Drosophila melanogaster: one gene and its partners. The protein of the gene in region 1 purifies or fractionates together with the protein of each later gene. This does not show direct contact. Each region holds a gene or a part of one and is shown on either strand. Other genes may lie near its edges.

What was found. Proteins that work in one complex are often made in the same cells at the same time.
Region 2: the proteins of lva (region 1) and alpha-Spec purify together in Drosophila melanogaster (affinity purification with western blotting; 2 studies listed by BioGRID, with this or other methods). This does not show direct contact.
Region 3: the proteins of lva (region 1) and beta-Spec purify together in Drosophila melanogaster (affinity purification with western blotting, with the first as the bait; one study listed by BioGRID). This does not show direct contact.

What each region holds. Positions count from the first base shown.
Region 1 is NC_004354.4:3,962,312-3,967,347, reverse strand, and holds the start of lva (lava lamp), read left to right. Parts: upstream 1-2,020; 5' UTR 2,021-2,593; coding exon 2,594-2,647; intron 2,648-2,709; coding exon 2,710-2,781; intron 2,782-2,850; coding exon 2,851-2,931; intron 2,932-2,995; coding exon 2,996-5,036. Other genes in the region: CG6428 (uncharacterized protein), read left to right, coding at 11-760, 827-1,528. UniProt on the Drosophila melanogaster protein: Lva and spectrin may form a Golgi-based scaffold that mediates interaction of Golgi bodies with microtubules and facilitates Golgi-derived membrane secretion required for the formation of furrows during cellularization.
Region 2 is NT_037436.4:1,792,170-1,797,006, reverse strand, and holds the start of alpha-Spec (alpha spectrin), read left to right. Parts: upstream 1-1,678; 5' UTR 1,679-1,808; intron 1,809-3,506; exon of another isoform or gene 3,507-3,591; coding exon of another isoform or gene 3,592-4,837. Other genes in the region: Cdc37 (cell division cycle 37), read right to left, coding at 1-105, 170-829, 1,011-1,214, 1,275-1,307; dlt (discs lost), read left to right, coding at 3,592-4,837. UniProt on the Drosophila melanogaster protein: Spectrin is the major constituent of the cytoskeletal network underlying the erythrocyte plasma membrane. It associates with band 4.1 and actin to form the cytoskeletal superstructure of the erythrocyte plasma membrane.
Region 3 is NC_004354.4:17,655,689-17,660,530, forward strand, and holds the start of beta-Spec (beta spectrin), read left to right. Parts: upstream 1-1,683; 5' UTR 1,684-1,845; exon of another isoform or gene 1,846-1,849; intron 1,850-4,842. Other genes in the region: IntS2 (integrator 2), read right to left, coding at 95-910. UniProt on the Drosophila melanogaster protein: Spectrin is the major constituent of the cytoskeletal network underlying the erythrocyte plasma membrane. It associates with band 4.1 and actin to form the cytoskeletal superstructure of the erythrocyte plasma membrane.

The DNA of each region.
Region 1 (5,036 bases):
TATTGTCTAGCAATCGTACGAGTTCTTCGATGGCTTTGTGGTGCTCCATGGCACCGACACGCTTTCCTACACCGCATCTGCATTGTCTTTCATGTTGGAAAATTTGGGCAAGACGGTGATCATCACGGGCTCCCAAATACCCATCTTTGAGACGCGAACCGATGGCAAGGACAATTTTACGTCAGCCTTGATCATAGCCGGTAACTACATCATTCCGGAGGTTTGCATCTTCTTTGGCCATAAGTTGATGCGCGGCAATCGGACGGTGAAGGTCAGTTCGAATGCCTTAGACGCGTTCGACTCACCGAATGTTCCACCACTGGCCAGGATCGGCATTGATGTGAACGTCGACTACCGCCTGATATTCCGGCCATGCACTATTGAAAGGTTTTGCGTACACTTGAATCTCGACGAGAACGTCGGCTTGCTGCGAATCTTTCCGAGCATTTCGCACTCCACATTCCGGGCTTTCCTGGCGCCACCGATTCGCGGCGTTGTCCTGCAATCCTTCGGATCTGGAAACATACCATCGAACCGAAAAGATCTCATCGATGAACTGCGTGCGGCTGGTGAACGAGGCGTTATCATCATCAATTGTACACAGTGTCCCAATGGCACAGTGGCGGAGATCTACGATACGGGCAAGGTGCTCTGCGATGTCGGTGTAATTCCCGGTTTCGATATGACGCCCGAGGCGGCGCTGGCCAAGCTGGCCTATGTCATCGGCAAGGAGGAGTGGTCACTCGATATGAAGAAGCAGGTAAGTTTCGACTATAATTCAATACATACATAAATATGGATAATCCACAATGTGTGCATTTCATAGATGATGCAGTCAAGCCTGAGGGGCGAACTGACCTCCTTAAAGGCTCCCAAAATGGAGGACTACGACTTGGTGGACGCAGTGGCACGGTCTCTGCACTTGTCCTCGCCCCAAGAACTGGATCAGCTGGGCGAAACGCTCTTTCCGGCCATGATCAACGCCGCTGTGGCCGAAGGTGATCCCAAGAAGATCAACAACTTGAAAGCCTATGGCGCCGACTTGTCGGGCACAAATCATGACCAGCGAACGGCCCTACACTTGGCTTGTCAGCTGGGAAACGTGGAGATCGTTAAGTACCTACTGCAGAACGGGGTGTCCGTGCACGTGCGTGATCGGTATGACCGCACTCCACTTCTGGAGGCTGTCGCCACCGATAGCCACGAGATCATCCAGTTGCTCATCAACTGTGGTGCTCATTTGACGGGCTCTTCGCGAGCGGTGGGCGAGCAATTGTGCGCGGCCGCTGCTAGGGGATCGATGATCAGATTGAAGTCCTATCAATACGCCGGTGCCGATCTTGCCCAGTCGGATCCTTCGGGCAGGACGGCCTTGCACGTGGCAGCACTGCACGGATTTCCGGAGGTGGTGCAATACGTCCTGCCCTATTTCGAGAATCCGAACGAGAAGGACATGCTCGGCCTGACCGCCATGGATTATGCGGAGCGCGGCGGACACGCAGCGGTTATGGAGGTCCTAAAATCATAGAAATCTCTTCCGAACCATACATACCTCGTTCCTTGTTCCTGCAGCATGAAGAAAAAAACAAACACTGGAGGCTAGGGTTATTTCTTTTGTACTTAAGTGTTGCATCTAGTCTAATGGTTCCTTATTATCAGTTTTGCATAACTCGCATATTAACGATGTTGTCGTGGTAGTTTTTATTATTAAGTGTCGAATCCCTGACCTGTTTTTAAGTAGTCCTTATTTACTAATGTATCCATTGTATGCAATAATATTATTAGCCAAAACCAAAAATTAACCAATCATGTCTAAAATTAAGCATCAGACATATTAAACGGTTGTATAACAAGTTATATACACAAACTAGTATAATTTGTTGTATGAAAATAAATAAAATCAATTTGAAATTAATGCAAAATTTTTGAATTAGTTTGTAATCGATTGATTGATTACGAGCGCAAGTGCTATCGAGCCATCTGTCATTCGATAACTTACCAGGGCTTTGTGACCCTATTCAGTTGTTGCGCAGCCCTGGTATCGAATTGTTTTTACGCTGGCATTAATTAGAATTGGTAAATATACATCTGTCAGCGTGCACATAAGAAAGCTCTTACGTTGCAATCTAGTGCTTAGTGGCTTGTAACTCAGAAACCAGGCGAAAATCGACACAAGCGCTGGAAAAACAGCAAACAAAACACACACACAGCCCCACTCGCACACACACAGCCGCACACACACGCACACATCTATAGAGAGGTGCACACGTCAGTGCCACGAATTCCATAAAATAAAAAGAACAACAAGAAACGCAAATTCAAAGCTAAAGACAATTCTAGCCGATCGGAAGCGGATGATATATGTTAGCTATATGGTAAACCCTCTCTCGTTGCAGTCAATGTCGATAGCTAGCGCTGCGCAGCCACCGTGGATATATAATCGGTCCTTCAGATAGCCAGTCCGCATATATATTCCCGATTCCCCCGATTTGTGTTTTTGTTTGTTTTTGGTTTTTTTTTTTTTTTTGTTATTGCTGCTGCATTTGGTCCGGTACGCTAGGATAGTTAGTAATATTTTGTAATTGAAACGACAATGGCGGAAGATTCGGGTGCTTTGGAGAGCTCCTACGACTTCTCCATCGTTCAGGTGGGTTTCACTTGGTGTTCCCTGTACGTACATGCGTCCATACTGATCATGACCACTTGCAGCCCGACGATCACGAATATGGCGAGGCGGATATACGCTTAGCGGGCAGCTCCAACGATCTGTCCTCGTTACAGGTGGGTAAATCTGAACAAATCCCCCAAGTGAAGCAGGATTCAATATTATCTGTTGAATCTACCCTACAGAATGTATCCGCCAGCACAACGAGAGGCACCAAAGGCAAGGGCCGTTTGGATAGCCTTAAAGAGAATCTGTACAAGCAGCAGGTGAGTTAGGCGCTGTGAATCAAGTGGTTCATATCATTAAATGACTCGAAATGATTGCTTTCAGGAGCGCCTCACTGCCTTAAAAGAACGCGCCTTAAGGAAATCCCAGGATGAGCGACACAAGTCCAGCATGAGTGACTCCATGGAGTCGCTTAAGACACTGGGTCAGAAGCTCACCGTGTTGAAGACGCGCTCCGGCGACTCCTCCACTCCACTGGTCTCACCCACAAAGGACAGCGACCCCGGTGATGTCTCTTTACTCCAAACCAGTGGCAGCGAGAAGCTTCTGATGCTCACACAGCGCACGGAACAAAATCGTGCTTTGTTGGAGCAGCGCAAGAGGGATCTGGCCAAGTCTCTTCTTTCTGTAAAGTCGAATATTGGCCACCAAACGACCGCCGAGCTGGGCTCTTCCATGACGGACCTACGACACGCGGCGTCTGTCTCCAATCCACCCGTATCCCGCCATCGTTCTGCCTTGGACTTGGAGGCCCAGGGTCAGGAGGCGGTGGACGAAAGCCGGGTGAAGTTGCTCAGGAGTCGTATGAAGTTGACGGAACTCAAGCAGGGCCGGCAGGAACAGGAGCTAAATGAATTGCGTACAGAACTGGCCAAGCGCGCTAAACTCATCGAGCGATTGGAACTATCCGGTGCGGAATTACAGCGCACGCTCACCCAGCGAAACGAGGAGTTAGAGCAATTGCGTGTGGTCCAGGCAGAAGAGGATAGCCTGAAGGTGCAGGAAAACTCTCGCCTCCAGGGCGAAGTTTTAGTCTTAAGAGAACGACTAGCAGAGCTGGAAAACGTCAACGACCTGTTAGAAACGACGCGCTGTGAACTTCAGGAAGAGCTGACCACGGCGCGCGAAAGACAGCGTAATCTGGAGTTGGAACAAGAGCAGGAAAAGGCTTCCCGCAGTCCGCAATCGGAAGCAGCGCATACCGATGCACAGGTGAGCGCGGAGCTAGCCAAACAGCTCCAGGAGCTTACCAACCAGCTGGCTGATCTACAGGCAACTAATGAGGAGTTGCGTCAGCAAGTTGCTGCCCAGGCGAAGCTCCAGGTGACCGATGAGATTGTTTCCCAGCGCCTTGAGGAACTGGAAGCCACCATAGCGGCGCAGCTTCTAGAGCTGCAGGAACAGAAGTCGGCAATGGCTGCCCAAAACGAAGAACTCGCAGAAAAGACAACGGAACTCAATGTGCTCAATGTGAATCTGCGTCTCCTTGAGGAGAAACTCGCGCAAAGCAGTCGCAGTAAGCCCCTATTTCTGGAGGACCATTCGGAGGACAGTGCCGCCAGCAAGCAGATGCAGGAGGATCTGCAGCAGCTGAAGCTAAAGCTGGACGAAACTAACAAGGCCAACATAAAGCTAAAGCTGAAATGCAAGCAGGCGGAAAAGAAGCTGCAGAAATTCCAATCCCAAGATGGCCAACAGCAGTTGGCTTCACTGTTGGCTGATAACGAGGAACTGCAGCAAAGGATCGCCGTCCTCGAGGACGAGAAGGGTCAATGGCAGTTGGCCAACATGCAAGAGGACGACCGCCAGCCAGAGCAATCGACGGAGTCCAATAATCCACTGCAGCTGGAAACAATTCGTTTGCTGGAAGAGCAGAAATTGGAATTGCAACAGGCCCTAGAGGCCTTACTCAGTTCATCCAGTTCTGCGGAATCCATTGAAATAGTGGAGCGTCATCACTTAGAGTGCCTAGGCCAACGACGTCCGGCCAGCGAGGGCGACGCCCAGGAGCAGAAGCAAGTGCATCCACCAGGGCCAAGTCACGTCAGCGAGCTCACTCAGACGGAGCAAACTGAGGAGGAGGATTCCTCTGGCGAAACTCTTTCCCAGCTTAGAGAACGTCTCGAACTTTTCACCCAGGAGCGCGGAGAGGTATTGGACAAGCTGGAGCAACTGTCGGCCGAGAATTTGCAACTCCAGGCAAGATTGGAGGAAAGTTCAAGTTCTCTTCAGCTGTTGCAGCGTGAACGTGAGAAGGATCTGATCTCCTCCACGTCCACTTCATCCAATCTCTCGCAGGAACTCAGTTCAATGCAACGCTCCTCCGAAGTTGTCGCAACACTGGACGCCGGCGAAGGAGGCCCCG
Region 2 (4,837 bases), on another chromosome or scaffold:
GTCCACACAACGCTTCATGTGCAGCTTGGCGACGTCCACGGGCATGGCCGCAATGGTCTTCTGCAGCAGCTCTACGTCGCGGGACTCGAAACAGGCCTTTAGTTCCTGCGGAGCAAATACATGAAAAGTTAGTCAAGTAATTCCCATACAGTGAATCACTAGAACGTACATCGGGCAGGGATTCAAAGACATCGGCTGGGTCCAGACCACCAGGTCCGAGGCGCTCCTTGCGCTCCTCCTCTTCGGCCTGGGCTATCGCCTCCTGGATCTTCTCCTGCGCACGCTTCTGGATACGTCCTTTGAAACCTTCGATCTCGCTGTCGAACTGCGCGCGGTACTCGGGATGACAGTGCTGGATCTTTGAGAAGAAGGAGCTGACACAGGCGCGAGGATCCACGTCCAGCTGTTTGGCCAACTCTAGAATGTACTGCATGCAAATGCACTGATGCGCCACGTGGGCCATCAGCTCGTGCTTCTCCTCCATTTCCAGGTTGATGGACCAAATGACTAGGTAGTTGGCCGTCTCCTCGCCCACCAAGTGAAGATGCTCCTGCAGAAACCGCTTCGAATCGTCGTACTTGCGCAGCATGCCATACTGCTGGCAGAGCTTCTCGTTCTCCTTGACGAATTGCTTCATGCGCTGCTCTCGCTCTTCCTCGGACAGATTCTCATCCGGCTTGCGGCCGGCCTTCTTGTTGATTACGGTCTTCTCAAAGCCGGGCTTGCTGATGGTGTCCACGTTCCAGGGTGTTTTCTTTTCCTTCTTAATCATCTCGCTCTCGATGCGGTCCAGCTCTTTGCCCTCGGCCTCGATCTTTTCGAGCTCTTTCTGTAGGCGATACAAATTAGGGATTAAGCATTGCGATGAAAGATGGATGGCCACTTAGGATGATAGTCAATCATAAGCTTGACAATAAGAATAAATTAGATGGATTGAGAACATAGGGAACTCCCAGACCAGGCATTAGCCTAAGCAACAAGTGCGCAGTGCATTCGGTGCAATGACCCACCTTCAGGGCCTCCTCGTCGCCATCCTTCTTTGAGATCCGCTCCTTGACGTCCATGAGGCGCGCCTGGTAGCTCTGGCGCTTTTTCTTAAGCTCGTCCTTCTCGTGGTCCATCTCCGCCATGCGCTCCACGCGCGCCTGGTGCCGCCAGCGGAACAGAGAAGGCGTGTCTATGTTTGGGTGAGTGTCGTCCTCATCATCCGAAATCTAAAAGGTAGTGTGCCGATTAGGAGGACTTTTTGGGTTGGCACCCAGCAGTGGGCTCACCTCGATGTTCTTCCACTTGCTGTAGTCCACCATTTTGCTGTTTCTTTGCTTCGGATTTATATTTGAATGTAAATGCTGCAGGTTTTTGTTCTTTTTCGGCTGCTTCCTTTTTTTGGATTGCTCTGGAAATTAGTGTGACCGCAGGGCTATTGCGGAATAATACCATAATAAGCCCCGCTTACTCTGGGGCCGCGCTAGGAAATAGTAGTCATGCATGAGTGCACCAGATTGAATTGAAATACCCTGTCGTTTTTAATTTATTTACATCATCTACTACTACTCATCTACATCTACTAGAAAAATAATGAGATGACTAAGGCGCCAAAGCGACCAGAAAGAGAACTATGTTTATAATCGATTGACATCGATAGAAATCGCGATATTGATGTCAATGTTCTGCGCCAATCGGCCGACATATTGAAAAAAACTGCGGTCCCGTGAAATAGAGGCGCTCCGTGAAAATTACGAATAACTACTGCAAATCAATAGTTAAATTAACAAAGTAACTGTGAACAAATAGATTGCCATCAAAGTGTAAGTTTCTACATAGTTTTCGTCCGTAGCTCACTGTTAGTTGGGTTCAAAATGCAATTGAAATTCGGTGTGCGTGCAAAGTGAAAATTTTTCGGGTCAACGCCACACCCTCGAAGGCAACACAAAAATCCAATTAACGGGGCTAAAGTGAGAGAAAAGTCTTGGCCATAACTGAAAAGCTATGCTGTGCAATGTCACTGCTTGATTAGTAATAGAAATTTTGAATTTCTTTCAAAATTCTTGACTCCAATTGCAACTTAAGAAAAAGTATCTGGTGCTCCTGTTGTGCATGTGTGTGTGCGGTTACGCAGGAGTAGAGAACGCTGTGTGTGTGTACGTCATCGGGTGGTGGTGGTGGTGCGGCAACTTCAGATGAGAGAAAGCGGGAGAGCACACTCTCCCTCTCTTTGCTTGTTTGTGTTTCCAAGATATTTAAGTACGAATAAAAAAAAAGCAAAGTGCTTGCCTTACATATGCCAAAGTTTTGGGTGGGCAAGTGTCCTTGACTTTCTTGAAGGCCTGTGTTTGCATAGGATATTTTTGTTTGCTTGCCAGGCGATTCCGTGTTCGTAGTAGTCTTGCGTACCAGTTGATTTTTTGTGCCTCTTCATTGATTGCTCATAATTCCAAAGCGTACGCATTACGTCATCCTCTGCTATTTTCTGATAGACACTTCAATTAATGTTTCGCTCTCTCCGTCTCTTTCTATTCGCTCTCTTTTTGAGGTGCGATCTCTCGCAATTGCCGTTTCTGATGTTGTTTTTGTTTGCCACCGCGATAAACAGTTAAATTGGCCTGCCTGTGTGTTTGTATGTGAGCTCCAACATTGTATGGCTGCCAAGCCCTGGGCTGTTGCCATCTCCCTCTGATTTATTTCAATTTCCTGTGGCAAAGAGTGTTGTTTGTTTGTTTCTCTGCATGCTGACCCACCCTCTCCCCTAAATGATGTCATTGCTTGCTCTGCTGACCCCTTCTAAAGGGGCGATTTTGAAGTATTAAGTATTAAAATCCGGACATTCCACGGATTTCCTTATCGTTAGTGCTAATTGTATTTCATGTTACTCTATTGACAAAAATTCACTCCTTGGCTTTTCTCTATTAATCATTCTTGGCCAATCTTAACTATTTTACCTTCTGTGTAGTGTAGCTGAGAATTTCAGATATTTCTCTGCTTTTCTTATCTGAGTTGTTTTTTTTTTTTTTTTAGCACTAAAAATTGGAAACTATTAGAAATGTGATTTTATGGGCTATCAACTAAGTTTGGAAATTAAAATAAATGATATCTTATAAGAATTCATAGAAAATATTTATACTTTAACAACAAAAAATTGTTGATGCAATATTTAGATACTTTTAGAAACCTACTATTCTTTTATTGTTAAGGTTAATACCTTTACAAATTTGTTTAGCATACATGTGCGTTTTTCCAAACCTGACCTACAAATATATTCCTCATAATTTCCCGCCTAACTATAACCTTATTACAACTTTTAGTACAGGTGATGAAGTCATCACAACTCGTAGCATTTTACGTGTCGTTTACGTTGATTTAGTTTATTGTGTGAAAACATATTGTTTATACAGAAAAAAAAGAAAATCCTGCAACTTCAACCCATCCAAACAACTCTAAAAATAACTTAGAAAACGAAACCCACAAAAGCCGAGCCAACATTTCCCTTCTCTCCTCTTCCGTTGCAGGGAAACAAAAGGGAGAGAGGGATTGGAGGAGGGCCAAAGGTTGAAAATAGCTCGAGCTAAGGCACAGAAAATAGATCACCGGAACATGACTGCAGAGCTCAAAGCGTCAGATACAGAAATGACGAAGCCGGAAGAGAGGCATCTGCTGCAGCTGCTTGCGCAACTGGAGAAGGTGCCGCACCACCAGCTGGAGCAAAAGTTCGTCGCCTATTTTAAAAAGGTTGGCAAGGGTGATAACCAGAGTAACTGCACACTAGAGGACTTCGCCACCTACTTTTTAGGTGCACTGCGTCAAAGCACAAAGAGGTACTACTATTCGCAAAACTCGGAGACACCCGTGTTTCCCTTGACCCCCATCCATCAGCTCAAGCCGCCGGTCGCCGATGTGGTCAAGGAGGAGGAACAGCAGCAGCTCAATGAGTCCTCGATCCTTAGCCGGAGCAGCTGCAGTATGTCCTCCACTTCGAATACTACTCCGGCTCCCCAGCAGCCGCAGGGCAGAAGATCAACGCCAGGAAGTGGCGCCCAGTTTTGCAGCACGCCTAACAGAAGCGGCGGTGGGGGAGCAGGAGGAGGGCACAGCATCTGCTTGGGCAACTTTCTGGTCAATACACCTATCCAGAGCCATCAGCGATCTAAGAAGAAGATCACGCCCCAAAAACAGCAGCAAAATCAACATGCATCATTGGGTTCAGGAACTGGAGCTGGAGCCACGCCACAATCCAAGCCGCGGCGACGTGTCTTACCCATGACCATTAGCAAGAATGTTTCGGCCAGCTCCTCTTTCGGAGACACCAGTTCCTTTAGCAATGAAAATAACTTTTGGCGAATCTCGCAGAGCAGCGAAATCTTCGATAGAAGCCAAGAAGCAGCCCTGGAAATGGAGGCCCGCAAGTTCCTGTTGCTCAAAAAGCAGGAAATCAAAAGCGAAGCGCCTGTGAATGTTAGTCAACAGGAGAGGACACCCGAAGATGAGGTTTTCCCTGAGGAAGCCATTAGCTTGGAGGGTGTGGCTAATGCCAATCACTTGCAGCTCCTATCAACCATTTACAGCCTGTTAATGGACCTCAATTTGGTGCCCAACGTACTACGTGAACTTAGTTTTGTGGTCCATCTGCTAAATGTGCGAGATTTTGGCCAATCACCCGTCAAATCGTATGTACCCAGTGCTTTGGAGGGACTCACCCAGCACAAAAGTTGTGTATACTTTGCCGCAAAACTGCTGGAGAATCAGAAAAAGTTACTTCTGCAGCTTGACAAACGGACTTTGAGTGTCTTGCTACAAAACGAGAGATTGAGCCTGCTGCCGCAAGGAGTTGTCCAAGAATTGG
Region 3 (4,842 bases), about 14 Mb from region 1:
TGTACGTTAAATTTAAATGAAATGCAAAGAATTTCCTAACGATTATAGTGTTGTGGTAAATCTGCACCTTACTGGTCAATATTACCCTACTCACCAGATCCTCGGGATGCTTGAGCGTGAGCTTAAGCATAAACGACGGCACCTTCAGCATATCCACGCACATGGACCTGTTGGCCAGCGCCTGGGAGGGATTCATCTCGCTGAGCCCCATGAGCAGCATTAACCGGTGCTTGCCATCGCTGCCATCCTCGTCGCAATTGGCGATCACATGGGACACAACGTCGCGATAGCAATCCGGAAAGTTGGCGACCAGTGCGCAGATGATGCGATGTCCGTTGGGCACATGGACAAGGGCGTCCGTTAGCTCCAGTATGTTCAGCAGGGAGGGCAGCTCGGCGAGAGCAATGCACAGAATGTCGACCACCTCCTCCAGATAGATGCCGTCGTCCAGCATCTCCGAATGGGCGGCCGGTTTCTGCTCGGAGACCTGCTGCTGCAGATTGAAGATCTCGGAGAGCACCACGCGCACCTTGCGCGCCACATCCGCCCGCTCAAAGCCCAGTGCGATGCCCGACTGGAGGCCGTACTCGTGTTGCTGTCCCTCGAAGAAGGCCGACTTCTGGCGGGCCTGCAGCTCCTTCTTCAGCTCATTCTCCAGCTCATGGTAGTTGACTTGCAGGTAGGAGACGATGCTGTTCACCACCTCGATGCCGATGAGCACGGCCAGGATCTCTTTGCGCGACTCCATCGACGATTCGGTGTTGTCCAGTGGCGATAGCAGGCTCATCCGCACCAGCGAGGGCAGCACGGGCCGAATCTCCGCCTCCGGATAGCTGGCCAGCAGGGTGATGTCCAGATTCTGCATGGCGCAGAAAACGCGCGGCGATACATCGTACATCCTCACCGGCATTTTGTCCTCGTCGTCGTTGTCGTTGCGTTCCAACTTGTTGCACCCGGCAATGCTCGTGTGCTCGGTTGTCCCGCTCTATTGGCCTGGCCGGCGGGGTGTCCGTGCTGGAGATGCCGGCGCGGGTCTGCTTTAATCTCGGCGATCTGTAGTTGGGGCAGGGAATGCCGGAGAATCCGAGAATCCACTGCGATCCGCATCCAAAAAATCAACACACGTCAGTGTGGCCAGTTGGAGAGGCTGCAAATATACCAGCAATTACTACATTTTATTATTTTATTATTATAAAAATACTATACTGCTCTCATAGGTGAAGGTTAACAAAGAGATGCGCAGCTAAAGAAAAATATTAACAATTATTGCAAGAGGCTAACAACTATTAGTACTATTAAGTTAGTAAAATCTTTACTGTTATTATTAGCAATAAGGCTTATATTCTCCCAAAAAGCCAACATATTAAAAAAAGTTAAATATAAATAAGTTATGTTTGTATATAAGCATTTCTGTAACGAAAATCTTAGGAAAATAAGAACATTTTGGTTCTGATAAAAATTTAATTAATATTATTTAAATAGCTCGAAGTAATAGAGTACATGTGGCGTAAACAATTGTTTATGTAATATTAGGTTATACAAATATGAAGGAATATTTAAGTTAAATAATATATAAAAATCTTAAGTTCCACCGTTTTGGCTAATTTATAGCCAGATCATGTGGCACGGCCACACTGCGCAGTAGGCGTTTTTTAGCGCCTTCTCGCGCTGGTTCACTTCGTTCACTCGTTCGCAACGCGATGTTTTGAATACATACATTTTTTCCATTCTCGCCAAGTGAAGTTCATCCGCCAGACCGAAGATTTTTAGTTGAACGTGCTAAATCTATGAAATTAACTGTGTTTTATGAATCAATTAGGGCGAGCGGAGCTGCAAAATTATCGAGTAGGTAAGTGAAAGTCGCCGCAGTGCAGTAAAAACGGCGCGAAATTCGAAACGCAAGCGGTCGAACGGGGAAAATGTGAAATAGACCAACGCCCAAGTGAATAGGCCACGAAAAAGGAGCCACCAATAAAAGGCAGAAGTGGCAAAAGAGAGCAAAAAGTATCTAACGAATGTGTGAGCGACTCTTACTCTTGGTGTGCCTGTGTGTGTGTTTTTGGTTTGAGAATTAGAAGTGTGCTAAAATATGAAAAGCAAGTGATTTCTCGCATACATTTCTACGTACATAATAAAAACATCATCGATTAAAATTGCCTGCTAACTCATATATTTCGACGCTGTCGCCGTCGCTGCCGGCGTCGCTGTCTCTGCCACCGATGATGACATCATTCGGTTTTCGTTGAGAGCGCGTAGCGTGCGTGAGTGTGTGTGTATGTTTGTTCGAGTAATCGAATTGGACGAGTGTAGTTCGCATTTTTTTTTTTATTTTTTAAATTACTTGGTGTAAATGTGCCTGAATGGCAGGACCGAAACTCTAGAGCTGTGAATTAAACGCATGAATGACATGTTGCTGTGCAAGAAGAAGAAGCGCAAGCCTTAAGTAACGTTTGCGTCAGTTGTTCGTTCCGTTGGTGATAAAAAGCGAAGAACACGGCTATCGCCTAATCGGAGATATATATATATATATACATGTGTATCATACGTTGAGGTTCCGTGTGCTTGTGAGTTTTATGAAATACAAGCGGTGCGCTCTTTTTTCTTCCCCGTAGATACGCATACGCCTATGCACTTGGCTGAAATACAGTTACGTGCTCACCAACACATCGGCTAAAAATAACACACACTCCCCATTTCCCATTTCCCTTGCACCCCGCTCTTCTCACCCACCCGGCCCTCTGAGGTCACGAGTTGAAGTTTCATTTCGAAGTTACGAGTTAAAAGATATAAATATACTGAGCTGCACTTGCCCAATGTTTGTTTGCTTATGTGTTTGTTTGTGCTTCACCTTGTCGCTGATGTTGTTGCATTGTTGTTGTTTATGACAAATCACACACGTACAGTTGTAAACACAACACACACACCCGCACACAAACCTACAAACATACAGGCATTCAATCAATTGATCGCCGAAAACTCATTAACTTGCTCATAAATGGCAGGGAAAACTGGTTTTTCCTTAGCAAAGCCTCAGCTTTGGTGGTGGTTTCATTTCCAAGTTTCCAAAGTTGAACTCTTGGCCTGTTTAATTGAACTCGCAGTTGCACACACGCCCCGCTCTCTCTCTTCCGCTCACACTGTGTCTCTCTTCATCGCTCTCTGTGATGAACTCACACTGGAAACAAGAGGATCGGATCGGCCATCATAATTAAGTCTAGAAAGCACCAACAATTGAAGGTGGTAAGGTGGGGTGGGTGGTTGGGGTGTGTAAGGGGAAGAGAGCTAGCCCGTGAGAGCGTCTTGTGCAGTTTCCACCCCTCTATCCCTTGCTCACTTCCACTTCCAGCACTCCTACTCTAACTGCACCACCTTCCAGATACAGATATATAGATACAATAGTACTCTCCCTCTTTCTCTTTCTCCTCTCTCCATCTCTATCTATCGCTCTGCGCTCCAGTTTTGTTGTTGCTCGCTCTCGCTCTCTCAAAGTTTTAAGCTTCGTTTTAATAAAAATATTACGTAATACTAAGATAGAAGCTGCTGCGTGCGTGTGCGTGTGTGCTGATTTTGCTTTTGTTTGTTTTAACAATTCTCGCTCGCACTATGGTTCTTGATGTTCTTCATTTTGGGTGTTGTTGTCGCGGTGCTCTCATAAAACTTAGTACAAATGAAATCAGCAGCTTAGTTAATTGTGTAAGCGAGAAGAGGAAGAGCGAAGAACGAAGAGTAGAGGAGGGCGATAACGAAGCGATGGGAAAAAGTTATGTTTGCTGCTTTTGTTGTTGTTGTGTGCGTAGAAGGGAATGACCCCGGCACCTGTGCAAACGCGAATGTATATAAAGGTCAAAGGACATTAGCACAAAAACCCACTGTTATACACAGCAAAAGGGGCCTGATTCAATCAGTGATTCTATTTTTGTCCTAGGTCGGCAAGCTTATATTACTTAATTCCATTAATCAAGCAATTAAATTGTTATTCTAATCGAGTTGCGGTCATTCATTAAAGAATTCATTATTCATCTTACAAATAATTTTCAAAAATATCATACTGAATTGCATTTACTGTAAATAAAATATTGTGAATGAATAAAAGTTGAAAACATGAACTGACATAATATTTCTAATAATTTACTAAAATTTTGTAGAGGCAGTATTTTATTTGGGGAAATTTTGAGTTCTGAATTAAGTACTGTGTTCTCCTAATTTGTAATGTGAAAGCCGCGGAGAAAGTGCGGCAATAAAAAAACAAAAAAATATGTCAAGTGGAAAAAGTACAGCCCAAGTACTTCGCCCATTTTCATTGCAACCTAAAAGCTTGCAAAAGTGTGAAAAACGCTGCGATGTGTGAAACCGAATGAATTTTCGAGGGCCAACTGCCGTGTGAATAGGTCGTAATTTCAAATCGTCGGCTACGTCGATAAAAAACCAGTGAAATACTAGTATACAAGCCCATGTAAATGAGTGATAGACATACGTGTGTCCCGTAAAACAAAAAGCTCGCCGATGGAAAAATGGAAACTGAATGGGCCCAGCATGAATATGATTTATGAAAATGTGAAATGTGCGATGTGTGTTCACAGTTGAGGTCATAAAGATAGCAGCGAACTTTAGCATTCAAGCTAAAACTTATTAGCTACGACGTTATATACTTTTTGTGCCTTTTTATTGTTAGTCTAATTATAAAAAAAAGAGCAAGTATTTATAGTTATAAAATCAATAACAAGAATTTGTTTAATGCACCTCTTTGAGGGCCAACAGTAAACTATTTGTCAATGAATGAGCCATTAAATAACAATTAAATACAATAACCACTGGTGCATTTACATGGATGACACCCCTAAA